Astyanax mexicanus: one gene and its partner. The protein of the gene in region 1 purifies or fractionates together with the protein of each later gene. This does not show direct contact. Links are inferred from orthologs where the notes say so. Each region holds a gene or a part of one and is shown on either strand. Other genes may lie near its edges.

Region 1 (7,501 bases):
TTAATATTTCATCTATCATCTATTTCTATTTATCATAATATCACACTTCATCAGTGCCTTTCTATACACACAAGCGCCTCATATAGCACCTTTCTATATACCCAATCAAGGGCGTAGGAGTGGGTTTGATATTGGGGGGGACACATCTGCTAATCTAAATCAAAGCCCACCTTACAGCGTCTCAGAACAACATTTGTGGAAATACTTTTAATCACAAATCAACCATTATTTTCTGTGCTTCTGTTTATTATTAGGTACATTCAAGTAAGGGTCACTTTACATTTACTGTTGTTAAAAAAAAGTATGCGTGCAATGTCTGAATTAAATACGTTCATAAATTAATTATGAAAAAACTGCTGAGGTATCACCTAATGTTGAAAACAATATAACAGATTTAATAATAATAATAATAATTATTATTATTATTATTATTATTATTATTATTGACATGTCAATTCTGTTATATATTTGTGTATTTACATTTACGCCACTCTTTTTTAGGGTCCTTTGGGTTTTTTTTTTTTTGGGGGGGGGGGGGGGGGGGTTTCGATTAAAAGTACTTCTTATCATGGTAATCTTTTATGTAAAAGAATGCAACCTTATGTTTCATAGAGATTTCTGGCAGAAGTTAATATAAACATTAGATAACCCAAACCCTCCTAGTCTATCATGAGCTTTTACCAAAGGACCAGATATATTCCATTAGTAAATCTAAGGGGCTAAGGGATACTCAATAAATGATGGATCAGGTGAAAACACACAATTTCAGGGCAGTGATCAGGGTTAAGAAACTGCTTTAAACTACCAACAAAAAGTATTGTACTAAATTCTGGCCATCCACTACATCCAGCTTCTAGGTATCTAGTTTGGCTAGCTAAAAGAATTTTCCTTCATTATAGCTGACAGTAATCCTGTAATCCTAGTCTACAAGTCACAGTGACTATCACAAACTGTATTTAATTAAGCTCACAGTGGGTTTGATCTCTGGGGTTTGATTTGTGTATTTTTAACCAGCTATCAGAAATAATCTTATAACAGTTTACATGGTTAGCTCCGTTACCTTTCTTTTAGAAAAATCGCAGTATATACAGACATGTTTTAACGTCAGCTCGCTTAAATTAAAAACATGCAACAAGAACATTAAAATGCCATATGGGGTGAACATTAAGTATAATAAATATAGTATGTTATATTTTATACAACAGTTAGTTCCGACCTCACAATCTGATTGGTTGAGAAGTGATCTAGCCGTGATGATATTTCATGATAACATCACGGCCTTCTCACACTAAAGTAACAGCGTATATACACAGGACACCCGCAGCAGCGTTAGCTTAGCACAGACTAGAGCTCAGCCGCGGCACGCTCGCCCGCAGCGCTGGCTCGTCTTTCGTGGAAAAAAGGGAACGAAAATCGCTCGGTTAATTCCGTCTTACAGCCAGAACGCTAACCAGCCAGGCTAGGCTAAGCTAAGTTAATGCTGAGCTAAAGCAAGCTTCGCTAACCTAACCACAGTCCAGCCAGCTAGCTAAAACCAACACCACCCAGGAAAATAAGCAGAAATGCTAAAATTCGCGGCTTTCACCTGAAGACGACTCCACGGAGCAGAAGAGGAGAGTATTAGTGTTATTTCACGCTCCTAACGTTACCATCTTCACTATTCCCAATTTTGCTTTCAAGCTAACTTTCGTGGTGTTAGTCTGCCTGAACCATACACTGTATGTAGTTAAGTTGTGGTGGAACTACTTTTTGGCGGAAGGCTCAGTCCATATTAAAGCATATTCAAACTGAATTTCTCAAAGTTCTTTGATTTATTTTCTTTATTTATTTAGTAATTTATTTAGTTGTATAAAAGCAATAGAACACTCGAGGTTGTGTGTTATCACGAATAACATTACAGCTGTGATTTGGTTTGGCTCGTGCCGTAGATCATCAAACTGAACTTTAAGAAAAAAAAATTTATTCAGTTTGAATATGCTTTATTTCGCGATAACACACTCCCTCTCGTGTTCTATTGCTTAAGTATAACAGATAGATAGATAGATAGATAGATAGATAGATAGATAGATAGATAGATAGATAGATAGATAGATAGATAGATAGATAGATAGATAGATAGATAGATAGATAGATAGATTAAAAGAATAAATTAAGTATAGAAGATAGCAGGTATCTATCTATCTATAGTACGTTTTATTATATAACAGTTAAATAATAAACAATAAAGATGTAATTGGAATTTAGTTTTAATTAACAGTCAGTATGAATGAAAAGTCAAAATTGAATCATTGCAACCACATTTTATTTACATGTCATTAGAGAATCTATTTTTTCTGGGAATTTAAACTATCCAATTTACCAATTTGTCCTTAAACCTAAGATGTCAGCACTGGAAAGCAAACTACTAATCACTAAGCCACTGTGCCACCCAATTCCTGCAATTATGTTGTTGTCATTGACGATTTAGTATAACTTAAAAAAGAAAATTTGAAAAAAAAAAACTATCTGTAAACATTTGTCTAGAATTTATTTATACTGCTTTTGAGACAGAATACCACTATTTTTGTTATTTCTAAAAAAAGAATTTTGTACAGTTTGATAGCACACCTCTAACTGACAACCTGACATGTACATGTATACTACTTCTTATTCAAAAGACCATTGCGCTACTTCATTATTATTCAGATTAGTAATTTATAGAGATGATGCATATTGTTGCTTACATATAAAAACGTTTCACTTATGTCAGCTGACATATTTATTTGACTTATCTGGGAAATTCATATTATATTAGAATTTAATGATTATTGGACTACTATAAATAATCCAAAATTCTTTACTTTTAATTTAATTGAAAACAAAAGTTTTTTTTCTCTTTTCCAGTAAAGTTGCCATTTTGAAGATACAAGCCTTTTCTGATTACATTTAAAGACAATGACAGACAGAGCGAGGGAGTTTTGATACAGGGATTTGGAAGAGGCCTGACTGATTTATTTAGAGAATCTTAAAAACAATCACTAGAGGGCAGCTTATTTGGCCTTATAGACAGGCTAAGTTTACTTCTAAACTTAACTATTTTATTTTACTACGTCCACAGGATCTGACTTATGAATGTATGTGTTATTTTTCTTTTGTGTATTTTGGTATCTGACTATAAGCACATTTGATTCTGGTTTTTACAGAACCATGATGAAAATGTCATAAAAAAAAGGATATTATATCATGGAAAAATCTTTAGCCTGGGAAATCACTTAAGCACTATTTTCAGATTAACTGAGATTATATTGTAAATATATATTAAAAGCTATATAGTTATTTGGTTGTTAATAGAATTGATTTATTTGTTAATGCAGCTCTATCCATTAGTTCCTGCTTAGTCCCAACATCACCATTTAACACCAACAAAATGCCACTACAAATGCCATTAATGTAAAATAAATTAGAATAAGTATGTAACGTTGTGTGTGAAAGTTAAAGGAGAAATTTGGTGTGAAATGGACTTGGGGTGAAGTGAAACATGATGATGAGTACAAACTTTTGTCGAATAGTCCACCTCTATTCACCGCTTTTAGCCGATAATCCCAACAGGTTTACAATGCTAGCAAAAGGGGCATAGAGTTCACTAATTTTACAACATTATCACTAATTTTACACTATTAACAAGATCAAAGTAGCTCCACACTTTATTGGTAGAATTCCAAAAGACCTGACATTTAAAATGAGGCACTGAGAGCTTTAAAAGTGCACCAGCAGTTCTTTAAAAAGACTGTTTATACACACAGTACCCTGAGGTAGTTATCCGCATGCTGCCATCTTGAAATTAAGTCATGATAATTTGACTGACAAGCACGAAAGAATAGCTGGGATAAGAGAGCAGACTGCCAAATTAATTCATTGGAAATGCCATAAGCAGCGCTACGTCCCTATCATTAGCACTGTAAGCCTGTTCAGAGCATGCGCTAAAGTGCTGTATTTTAGAATCTGGGGTTGAATGGAGGTGAGATATTCAACAAATGTTCATACTTATCATATTTCACTAAACCCCAAGTCCATTTCACACCGAATTTCTCCTTAAACGCTGCAACTTTGTCCACAGCAGCCATTAACTGTAATGAACTCACAAACAACTCACGTGAATTCCATCACAAGCATTCACCCCATTTATCCCCATTTTATATTGTTTAGTTTATGATGAAGCGCTGATCTGGGGACTACAGTATAGAAAACTACAGGCTGTATTTAACCCGCTGTCTCAGCAGGGGGCGCCAACGGTCACACTGTCAGTTCGCGAGAGAATGCACCAACACCGATCTATATCCCTCCGCCACACAAACTAGTCCCCGGGAAAAATGTCCAAATCGGTAGACTCAAAATAACACATCCCAAAAGCACCACGCGACTCTGATCCAAATACATCTAAACGCACCATTACATTGATCAAATAATCCGCCTTTAGACTTTAAATATATTTCATATTCATAAACTGTGTACATCCGCGGCCACAGCGCCACCAAGCTCGTACCCGTCGCCGTGTGATGACGCCGGACGTGTGGCTATTTGCATTGTTTTGGTTCGTGCAGTTTGTTATTTAGAAAATCTCCTGAAACACTCCGATTTTGTCAGATACAGGTCAGTGACTCTCTTACTGTCCCCGCGGGCTCGCCTGCGCTGCTCTCAGCCCGTGTTCTGGTACTGAAGCGCCGTTAGAAGCGCTGTAGTTCAGTGTAGTGTTGTGGAGCCGCTGCGGTCGGGTCGCTGCTGCGGGTCTAAACACGATGAGCTGAGTTTATCCTGCACGGCGCAGAGACTCTAATAATCAGGGTTTTAATTAGGTTCAGATTACAGTCACAGCTGTAGCTACAGGAGAACTGCGATAACTAGATGTTTCGCAGAGGCTGAATTTGACTTAATTTTCTTACTCGGATTTCTCATTCCACCTTAACTGGTGCAGCATATCCACACAGGCTGTGTCTCAAATTTATACAAATAAAGTATTATGATCGCAGAAAATCACGTATTTATGTCTTAGTCTGTTTCGCTCATTCATATCGCATCCTAGTAAGTTACCTCAGTCTGACCGCATTTATGACAGCAAGTTGTCAGTGTTTTAGTTAGCTAATAATGTTTTTAATGTAAGTGTAATGTGTTTGTAACACAGATTGCTAAATATTGTCTACAGTCTAATGAGACAAATACCTAACGTTACAGGTTCGGACACAGCCACTCGGTGTTTTGGGACGGGCAACAAAAGGTAACGTTAGCGGTAGCTAACGCTAGGTTAGCTAACAAATGTAATTAGCTAGTTAACTACCAAACATGGTTTCTTAGCTAGGATAGGTTAACTAACTTAGTTACATTCTGAAAAATTTAAAGTGGAACTGAAAATTCTTTAACCCATAAGAGGCCATACCCATTTCTGAATATTGATAAGGCACCAAATTCAAAAATAGAGAATATAAGTTAAATAACATTCCAATTTGCAAAAAAAAAAAAAAAATCAGGGAGGCGCCCCCGGACCTGGACTTGGATAGTGCCCTAACTCAGTGTTTCTCAACCAGGGTGCCGGGGTGTGTCCCAAATCACAGGCAGCACTAATCGCGCTAATTGTGACGCGCTATTTTATTTCATATTCCGCCAGCAACACCCCCCGTTCTCACCTGAAGTACTGCGCCATCATCCCCCCCCCCCCGTTCTCACCAGAAGTACTGCAACAGCACCCCCCCCGTTCTCACCTGAAGTACTGCGCCAGCCCCCCCCATACCCCCCCCCCCTCGTTGTCTGAAGTACTGCGCCAGCATCCCCCCCCCCCCTTCTCACCTGAAGTACTGCGCCAGCACCCCCCCACCCCCCCCCCCCCGTAAACTGTGGTGCCTTGACATCTCGCAAATATTTAAAGGGTGACGTGATAGAAAAAGGGTTGAGAAACACTGCCCTAACTTAACTGATTAGACTAACACTTATTTTATTGTCTGCAATGCTGCCAAGACTTGCCAGTTTCGCTGTATAAAAGGTAATAAAGATATACCCAAAAATAAACACAAATAGCAGAATTTTGTGCTTTGTTCAGACTTGGGTTAGTAGGTATAAGTAAGAGGAGTGTGCCATATCGTGTTTACCTCTTCTCATTCAGTGTGTTTAATTTCTTTTTATGATTTTGCGTTGTAAATTTAATATTGAAGTCATTAAAGCTGTACAGGAATATGTAGAAATATTTTGTAAAAAAGTATACTTTTATACTTTAGATTACCACTGAGGAAGTACCACCCAAAAATGTATTATGTATGGTATTATGTTTGCAGATTATGTGATAAGTGCAAGTACTTAATATTCTGCAATTTAGTATTGTGACAGATTGTTTTGCTACATTAAATTGTATTCATGCTACATTATTTATTTATTTATTATTTATATTCATTAGTTTATACAAATTGCTTTGTAAATTACTTTAATATTCAAAACGATCGATTTTTGTTTGTTTTGCTGAATGATTGAAACTGTTAAGCTTACATGAAATAAAACTTTCTTTTTGTATTGCAGTAAAATATTTGTTGAAATGTAATGAAATATTTTTCCATGTTTCTTTTCCATATTACTAATAATATATTTCTTGCAAAAATGCCCTGAAAAATTGTGAAAGAGATACAGAATGTGACCTTATGGTTATTGTATATCGTATGTGTGTGTCTGTGTGTGATGTTCTGTAGTTCTGTTTAGTGTGTGAAGAGTAACAAGATATGGAAGAGCAGAGTGCTTCACCTGGAGCGAACACAGATAACAGCAGCCAGAGGAATGGAGAGGAGGTAACACTGTAATTAATGATAATTAAATATTTTGAATAAAATGAAAGTACATAAAATAATCCATATCAACCAGAATCATTCTCTCTATCAGCATAGAGATGTCTTTTCTGAGTATTCTATCACTGTAGAAGATGCAGATAGAGAGGGATGAATAATGATTTGATTTAAACTTTAAGATTTTGAATTTGGTCTCAGAGACTGTCTTTCTCTGGCCCTTCAGAAACCACGCAGGGCAAGTTGGACTAAAGGAAGGAAGAGAAAGAAGCCTTTAAAGGACAGCAATGCACCCAAAGCTCCCCTAACCGGATATGTACGATTTATGAATGATCGGCGGGAGCAACTGCGTGCCGAGAGACCGGACGTACCCTTCCCAGAAATCACCAGGATGCTTGGCAATGAGTGGAGCAAACTGCCGCCTGATGAGAAACAGGTGAGGAGACTTTATAAAAAAAAAAAATTAAAATGTAGCAAATCGAAAAATATATACATACGAAGAGATTGCTAAGCTGCTGCAAGGCCCTTAACCCTCTCTGTTCTCTGGACACTACAACAAATGCTGCCCATTTCCCTGGGCACATGTGATTCAAGATTCAATTCAAGATTCAAGATTTTTATTGTCACGTCACAGAGTACAGGTGTACATGTGAGTGAAAAACTTGGGTGCAGATTCCCACCAATGCGCAAAGAATAATATTTACAAG
Region 2 (7,327 bases), on another chromosome or scaffold:
TTTAAGAGGCGAATTAAATGTTAACAAAGGTACAAGAAGAGCTGAACAATATATCAACATTTTATTGTGATACATTTTCGTATCGTATTGACAATAAGCATATCGATAATATTATCAGTACTTAAAGAACACTTACCCAACTGTAGATTTTATGACAGTGTAAAAAATCTGATTTAATTGAATGAAGTGCAGCAAAAAATAATAAAAAATCACCTAGCACAGCAGTTCTATGTATGAAAGAGTATTTTAATAGCATCAAATGCCTATGTTGATGCATTTGCCTGCAAGTGAACATATGATAAATACTGTGTATTGTAAAAATGTCTTTCAATATTATGATATACTATACCCATATACCATATCACCCAGCTCTATTAGTGTGTGATTATGTACACCAAGGCTGGTGCTTTTGTACTGTTTGTATTAATATTAGAATTGTATTGTATCGATCAAAATTTAGAAATATATTGTGATACAGCTTTTTTTCTTTTTTCATACTGTTCAGCTCTAGGTTCACGAGTGACAATATAAGAGCTAATAAGAGTACAAGAGTAGCAAGGGACACATTCTATCATAAGTAGTACAGACCTTAACAGCATAAATTGCTAAAAGTATTTTTGAGCAAAATAGTCTTTAAAAAAACAAAAAAAACTAATTTCTCTATGAATATTATACAGCTATAAAGAGACCAATACAGTTTCTGAATCAGTTTCTCTGATTTTGCTATGCATAGGTATATGTTTAGATAAAATGAACATTGCTGTTTTATTTTAGAAACTACGGACAACATTTCTCCCAAATTCCAAATAAAAATAGTCATTTAGAGCATTTATTTGCAGAAAATAAGAAATGGCTGAAATAACAAAAGATGCAGAGCTTTCAGACCTCAAAAAATACAAAGAAAACACATTTATATTCCTAAAGTTTTTCAAGTTGGTAAAATCAAAGAAACTCATCATTTTAAGTGGTCTCTTATTTTTTCCAGAGCTGTATAGGTGTATACAGAGCTTTGCTAAATATAACATTAAATTCGTAATAAAGTCATTTTCTTCTGAAATGCAAAGACCCAAACAAATTTACAAGTAACATAACAGCAGGGTTAAATTTAGCCAATTTATAGTTACGCAGACAACTAATTATAGCTATAAATTATAATTTCATCATCACGACTTTATTTGGAAAAAATACATTTTTTTTAAGCATCCAAACTTCGGTCCAGTCTTTGTTTACAAATGTGATATCCCAAAAGCTAATACAAGCTGGAACAGACATTTGAGACCTAACTTGTAATAAAGGATACATTTTATATTGGTATTTTGAAAACCCTTCTTATAAAAGGAAACTGCTTAATAAATAACAAAAGCAAAGTCTAAAGAAGGCAGGAACCTTTCAATGGCTAGCTAGGTTAGCTAACGTTCCCTAACACAAACAGTGCACTAGTTAATTAGCTAAGCTAGCTTACTAGGTAACTTACCTTTTTAAACGGGCTAGCTAGCAAGCTTGTCAGATTGACTGTCGCTTGGGAATCATATATGTATACGATAATCGATTAAATAGCTAATGAAAATAACCAGAATATTAGGACCATCAGACACCAAGACTCATATTTATGACGTTTAAAACCAAGCTTTTTTTGTACTGGCTAGCTTAGCCACTCAAGCCCTAGCTAAGCTAACCTTATATCAGCCAGTGTAAATGTATATAGGTTCGCTAACCTAGCTAGCTAACTAAAAGCTCTCCAGTGATGAAGAATTAAGTAGTAAAATAAACAATAATCGTAGAGGAAAGACGAGACGATTGCGCAGGGTTAAACTGCAGTTAACGCAATTTTACTAACTAGTAATCTTCATGCAAACACATTGTAACAGTTACAACTCACTCATTCAAAGCTGCCCAGCTATCTAAGTTAGCCTGCTAACTAGCTAACCCTGGCTAGCAATAGCATCAATCAACCCTGGGAAAAAAACACACAGAATCACAAAGAAAATCCGGTTAAAGTGCAGCACACTTAAATATCAGCTCAGTAACCCATATATGACATTTTCTGCTGCAGAACATTAATCACAATGTAGCACATCACCTACTTTTCTAGGCTTCGGTCTCAGATAGCTAGCCCGCTCAGCGGTACAATGGGCTGCTCTCGGACTCTGTGTACTACGTACTCACTGTGTGCTGACGTAGAGCGCAGAAATCGTGCTTAGAACTGCGTAGCAACCCCCCATCCACAGATCTCAGCTTTCAATACCATAGCAACGCAGCGCTGACTACCAGCAGCCCTTATACTGTAGGGCACTAAGCACAGGCAGCGTCTTCGGTCGTGTTCCAATATGCTGCCTGGTGTGCTTTAACTTTTTTTTTTTTTTTAATCCTTTGAACCCCAGCCTATTTTGGTGTATTTTTTCTCCGTTTTTGTCCGTTTTCCTTTCACTTGTTATAGCATAGTTATGTTAGGAGCCACATGCTATTATTTTTATTTATGCCAGAAGACACTGAACTGCTCAAAAATATCATTATTCAGATGTAAATGTTTCCAGAATTTGTAAATCTTCATGGAATTGATCATCTTTTGATCAAAATTATACCCAGCGCCTGTTTTTTTTTCCACTTATTTATGAATGTACATCAATGTAATCAATTCACACAAGAGTTTTCTTGTCAGTAATATGTAATAATATGAGTGTATATTAGTTGAAATTATAAAGATTTTGATGATACTTCATTACATGGCTTATAACTGTGACAGAATAACGTTACATGAGCATCACCAGGTTTTATGGATTCATTTTTCTTGATATTCCCACCTCTGAGATGCATATTGCTAAAACCATCTGGACACTACTGGGTTTATTCAAATATTATTTGATTTCATACCTCATAAAAATATTTTAGAAGCACTAAAAGTACATATTATTGGCTAAAAAACGTTTTTAGCGGTTATAATTTAATTATCTTACTTTTATTCTTTTGATGAATCAGCGCCAGCAATAACGTCATGAGATTTACCTCAGACCCCGGAGTGAACGTAAACACGCTGATTATTTAAGACAAAAAATGGCGTTATAATAAAAGAATAAAGCATGGAAATATGAAGGTAAGCCATATTCTTTAGGTGGATTTCACAAAATATTTCTCAAAAACATTTACGTTCAGTGTGAGGTCAGTGCTATTTTTACACAAAACACGGGTTCCCTGTTTGTCACAATGTATGAATCATGCTGGTTCGTTGACGCATTTCTGAGTAATTAAGCTGTATAAACAATGCACGAGTTTTTAAACAATTTGCGTCAATGGGGTTATAAGGATTAAAGCAGAGGAGAGGGAATTACAAAGTTGTCAAAAGTGTTCACACTAATTACTTGGGTAGAATTTTAGATAATAGGGTTTTAAATACTTCTGTAGAAGTTGAAGTATTGGCTCAAGCACAAGTACTGTATGAGGAAAAAATTTCATTACCCAGCTGGCACACAGCCGACCTTCAACGTCGAAATGTGTTTGAAATATGACTAAAGTAATGTCTGTTGTTGTTTCAACGTTGAAATGTTGATTCAATGTTTATTCAACGTTGAAATGCCAGCTGGCTAGGGACAAAAACTTAAAAAGTAAAAAGTGAAAATGAAAGTAAAATGTTTTCTGAAAAGTAGTTACTCTGCTTCTGTAAGTTTCTTACTGTCAGTGTTTTACTAGTACTTTTACTAGTATTTCAGTATCTTGAAAAAATTGAATTTGTTGTTAGCTAGCAACTGCATTATTGGAGACACCGCAGTGACGCTGTTAATCATTACATTGGTTTATAAAATGATTTCCTCAGTTAGTGGAACATTTTTTTGTTAGTATTTTGTTAATATCAAGTACACTTTAGTTTTTTTTAACCAAAACATTTTTTTTTTTCAAATCCAACTTTTGTGCTGCTATTCCTGTAACACTGACACTTGTTTTACAGCTTGATAAGAATGACCAGCAAGATACCCAGCTTGCTAGTTAAAGCAGCATCATGTGATATATGTTATTTTTATGCTCATGGGCTAACCCTACAGATGAAAAGGGGAATTTGCACCTCTCATAAATCACAGGTTTTCGTGCATTTTTGGAGTTCTGATAGGTACAGAAAGTTGAATAAGCATGACAACAGAGGCAGTAGAGTAATAATACAGAAACATACAAATATGAATCTTTATGGCCCACAGGTTGCACAAGTGTTGTCGTTCCTACTTTTCCAAAGTTATATTGTGCCAAGCCTGGAGTAGCAACATGATGAAATATGTACACTATTCTCCCTATTACAGGTCAGTTGATCATTACAGTGATTGTATACAGTTATTTAAAAAAAGAACGTCATAAGCACATATTAAACATAGTGTAAATGAACTGAAAATGGGTGAATCATTCTTCTGACAGCATACTTCAAAAATTCTGCCAGCTCTGATACGGAGTTTGCTCTGAGGACTGCTTCAGTGGACCTAACGTTTCTGTTTGGTTTGATTTCTGCTTTATTTATGCCCTCATTCTTAGTGTTGACATTCAGAGTATAACACCATGGCTACCGGCCTCCCTCGTGTGCACAGCCAGCTCAAAAGCTCATAGTACAGAAGATTCAGAGTCAACAGGGTCATGTAGCATGCCTTATCTTTCACTATCTCCACACCACAATTTCAGTCAGAGTCAGATGCAGTGGAATATTCATTCCGATCCCGTCGTACACTGCAAATGTAAACTATTGATCTTCATTATTCCATTGTTTTAGAAAAGGTCATTTTTGCCTCGAGGCCGAGGTAAGTAACCGAGCTTAAAGACAACATTAGACCGTGTGTTAGGTGGCTACCTTGCCCTCATTTACATACCATGACATTTTCGACAGATTGTTTAATAGAGGAAAATTCAAGCTAAATATCATTTTGTTCAAAGGCGAACATGTTTATTGTGAAATAAACTGTAAACTAACAGGTTGACATGCAGGGAAATACGCATGTGTAACACAGAATGGCAAGAACATTTAGTGTGACTGGGGAAATTACTGTTTTGGCTTGTTTTCAGAGCAAGGTTTGTTTCTATTGTCCTCCCTTGACTTTGCAAGTTTAGCAAAACAGGAGACGATTAAAATAAATGAGCCTAGATTGATCCTGATACACGGCAGGGAAAGACTGATGGGGGAGGCGAGCGAAAGGGATGATTACGACTGTCCTTGCCCGATGACAAATGGCACTGCATTGTGCTGGAAAGCAACCGTTTTTTATCTCTTGGCATCAAAACACTTTTGGGATATCATCATAGCCATCAACGTCATCATCACTGTCACCTCTCTTTTATTGCCTGTATTTGCTGTTGTACATTATGTTGATGTTGCCTAAATATGAAATCAGTCTAGTCTCACATTATACAAGGTCAGTGTGGATAAATAACTTACTGAAGGAATCATTTTTGTTGTTAAATGATACATTTATTAATATCCTAATATTTTATGATTAATTATATAGTTTTTTTTGTGAAAATATGGCAACCAACAGTCAACATTACAGCCGTTAACAGTTATTGTGTTTTTGCCTGTACAATCCCTCATATTAGGGGTCATAAATCTCAACAATAACAGGCCAGTGTGACTACAGGCTTTTCAATGTTTTTAAGTAGGGACCTTTAGTTTCCTTGCTATGTTTTTATGTTGTGTTAGGTTTTTTATTATTTTGCTTTTTTATGTGGTTTTGCCATAATTGTCTTTTCTTACACACAACACGTGCAGTAGTTACCAGTGTGCCCCAAAACAGTCCCTTGCAAACCAACTGTCAATTAGTCTTATGTAGTTTCCACCAACCTTAGTAACATCAAATGTGTATTTGTTAGTTTCCTAATTCTCTGTGACATAAACACCCAAGTGGGGTGGCAGATGCTTTAGTTATCACAAAGCATTGATATTAAGTCAAAAAACAGTAGTAAGCATAATTAAGAATTAGCTGTCATTAAAATCATTACTTACAGAAAGGGAAAATGATGCTCTGGAAAGGGGAGACTATTCCTTTAGAGTACACATAAAAAGGGTTAAATTCTCCAAACAAGCCAGTTAAGCCTTCAACAAAATAACAGTACAAAAGTGATAATAAAATAACAGTCACATTTTATTTCCAATAAGTTAATTTCAATGGAGAACTGTCAGTCTAGGAAAAGGGTATTTACTACACAGACTAGATTTCATATTTCTTTTAGATTAATCTTAAGTAACATAATTAAACCTAGTCTATTCAGTAGGAAAAACACTACACATACCAGTTGATTTATTGTATTTCCTACATGTAGATTAATGTTAAAGAACTAAATGTTAAACAGTTGAGGGATGCATATGGAATTATGTAGTAAACAACTACAACTGGTTAGCCTCCACAATTCCCTGATCTAAACCCAACAGAGAAGCTGGAGTGAAACTGGAGCTTCACAGCGTGAAACTATTGTTCAGCACATCCAGGAACTCCTTTAAGATGCATAAAAAACTATTCCAGGTGACACTCCCTCATGAAGACACTGAGATATAAATACTAAGAGTCTGCAGATCTTCCATCAAAGTGAAATGTGGTACTTAGAAGAATCTAAAGTACAGAGTATTCTGGTTTGTTTAACACTTTTAGTTTACAAAATAATTCCACACACGTTCCTGTATAACTTTTAATGTTTTCAAAAATCATAAAAAGAAAGAAAACACAAAAGAAATGTGGTATCAGAAGATGATAATGATGATCAGATTCTATAGACGATATATTGTTTTAAAATAAAAGCTATAAATGGTGTTATTGGCTTTTTAATGTAATTTTATCCCACTGATATAATGATAATACAGTAGCACAATAATGATTTTACTCATCACTGTTACAAAACAGTGAACTTAGACATTGGAATTGGAATATTATTTAATAAAATATCTTTCAAAAATAATACATAGATAAAGTAATACCACTTTTTAAATGAAAATAAAGTTGGCATCTTGCCTCATTCACATTATTAGATTATTTTAGCTTAATAAACATAACGGATAATATCATGGTCAGCAGAATGATTGAAGTCATGTCCATATATTGTAGGATAGGTTGATTAGATTAGATTTTTTCTGACAGGCCTACCCATATGTTAATGCTGCTGTAGGACATTTGTTTGGCTAGTCACCGAGTGTGGAAACTATCAATAGACTAACTGGTAGGTTTCTGTTAGCTCTTTAAATTGAAAATGATGCCAACTGTACAGCTCAAGGTTGTCAAATAAATGTTAATTTAATATTAAATATACAGTGTATTACCAGCAAATTCTCTCCAAAATCTCTCAGTACAGTTGTAACTATTCTGTACAATAGATG

The links. Proteins that work in one complex are often made in the same cells at the same time.
Region 2: the proteins of hmg20a (region 1) and phf14 purify together in Homo sapiens (affinity purification with mass spectrometry; 3 studies listed by BioGRID and IntAct, counting the BioPlex papers as one, with this or other methods). This does not show direct contact. The link is inferred for Astyanax mexicanus from reciprocal best matches to the Homo sapiens genes HMG20A and PHF14.

The regions. Positions count from the first base shown.
Region 1 is NC_064409.1:44,231,703-44,239,203, forward strand, and holds the start of hmg20a (high mobility group protein 20A), read left to right. Parts: upstream 1-4,489; 5' UTR 4,490-4,629; intron 4,630-5,208; 5' UTR 5,209-5,251; intron 5,252-6,704; exon of another isoform or gene 6,705-6,714; 5' UTR 6,715-6,734; coding exon 6,735-6,800; intron 6,801-7,020; coding exon 7,021-7,230; intron 7,231-7,501. UniProt on the Homo sapiens protein: Plays a role in neuronal differentiation as chromatin-associated protein. Acts as inhibitor of HMG20B. Overcomes the repressive effects of the neuronal silencer REST and induces the activation of neuronal-specific genes.
Region 2 is NC_064410.1:40,950,970-40,958,296, reverse strand, and holds the start of phf14 (PHD finger protein 14), read right to left. Parts: upstream 3,010-7,327; 5' UTR 2,995-3,009; coding exon 2,955-2,994; intron 2,248-2,954; exon of another isoform or gene 2,168-2,247; coding exon of another isoform or gene 2,167-2,167; exon of another isoform or gene 2,086-2,166; coding exon of another isoform or gene 2,085-2,085; intron 1-2,084. UniProt on the Homo sapiens protein: Histone-binding protein. Binds preferentially to unmodified histone H3 but can also bind to a lesser extent to histone H3 trimethylated at 'Lys-9' (H3K9me3) as well as to histone H3 monomethylated at 'Lys-27' (H3K27ac) and trimethylated at 'Lys-27' (H3K27me3).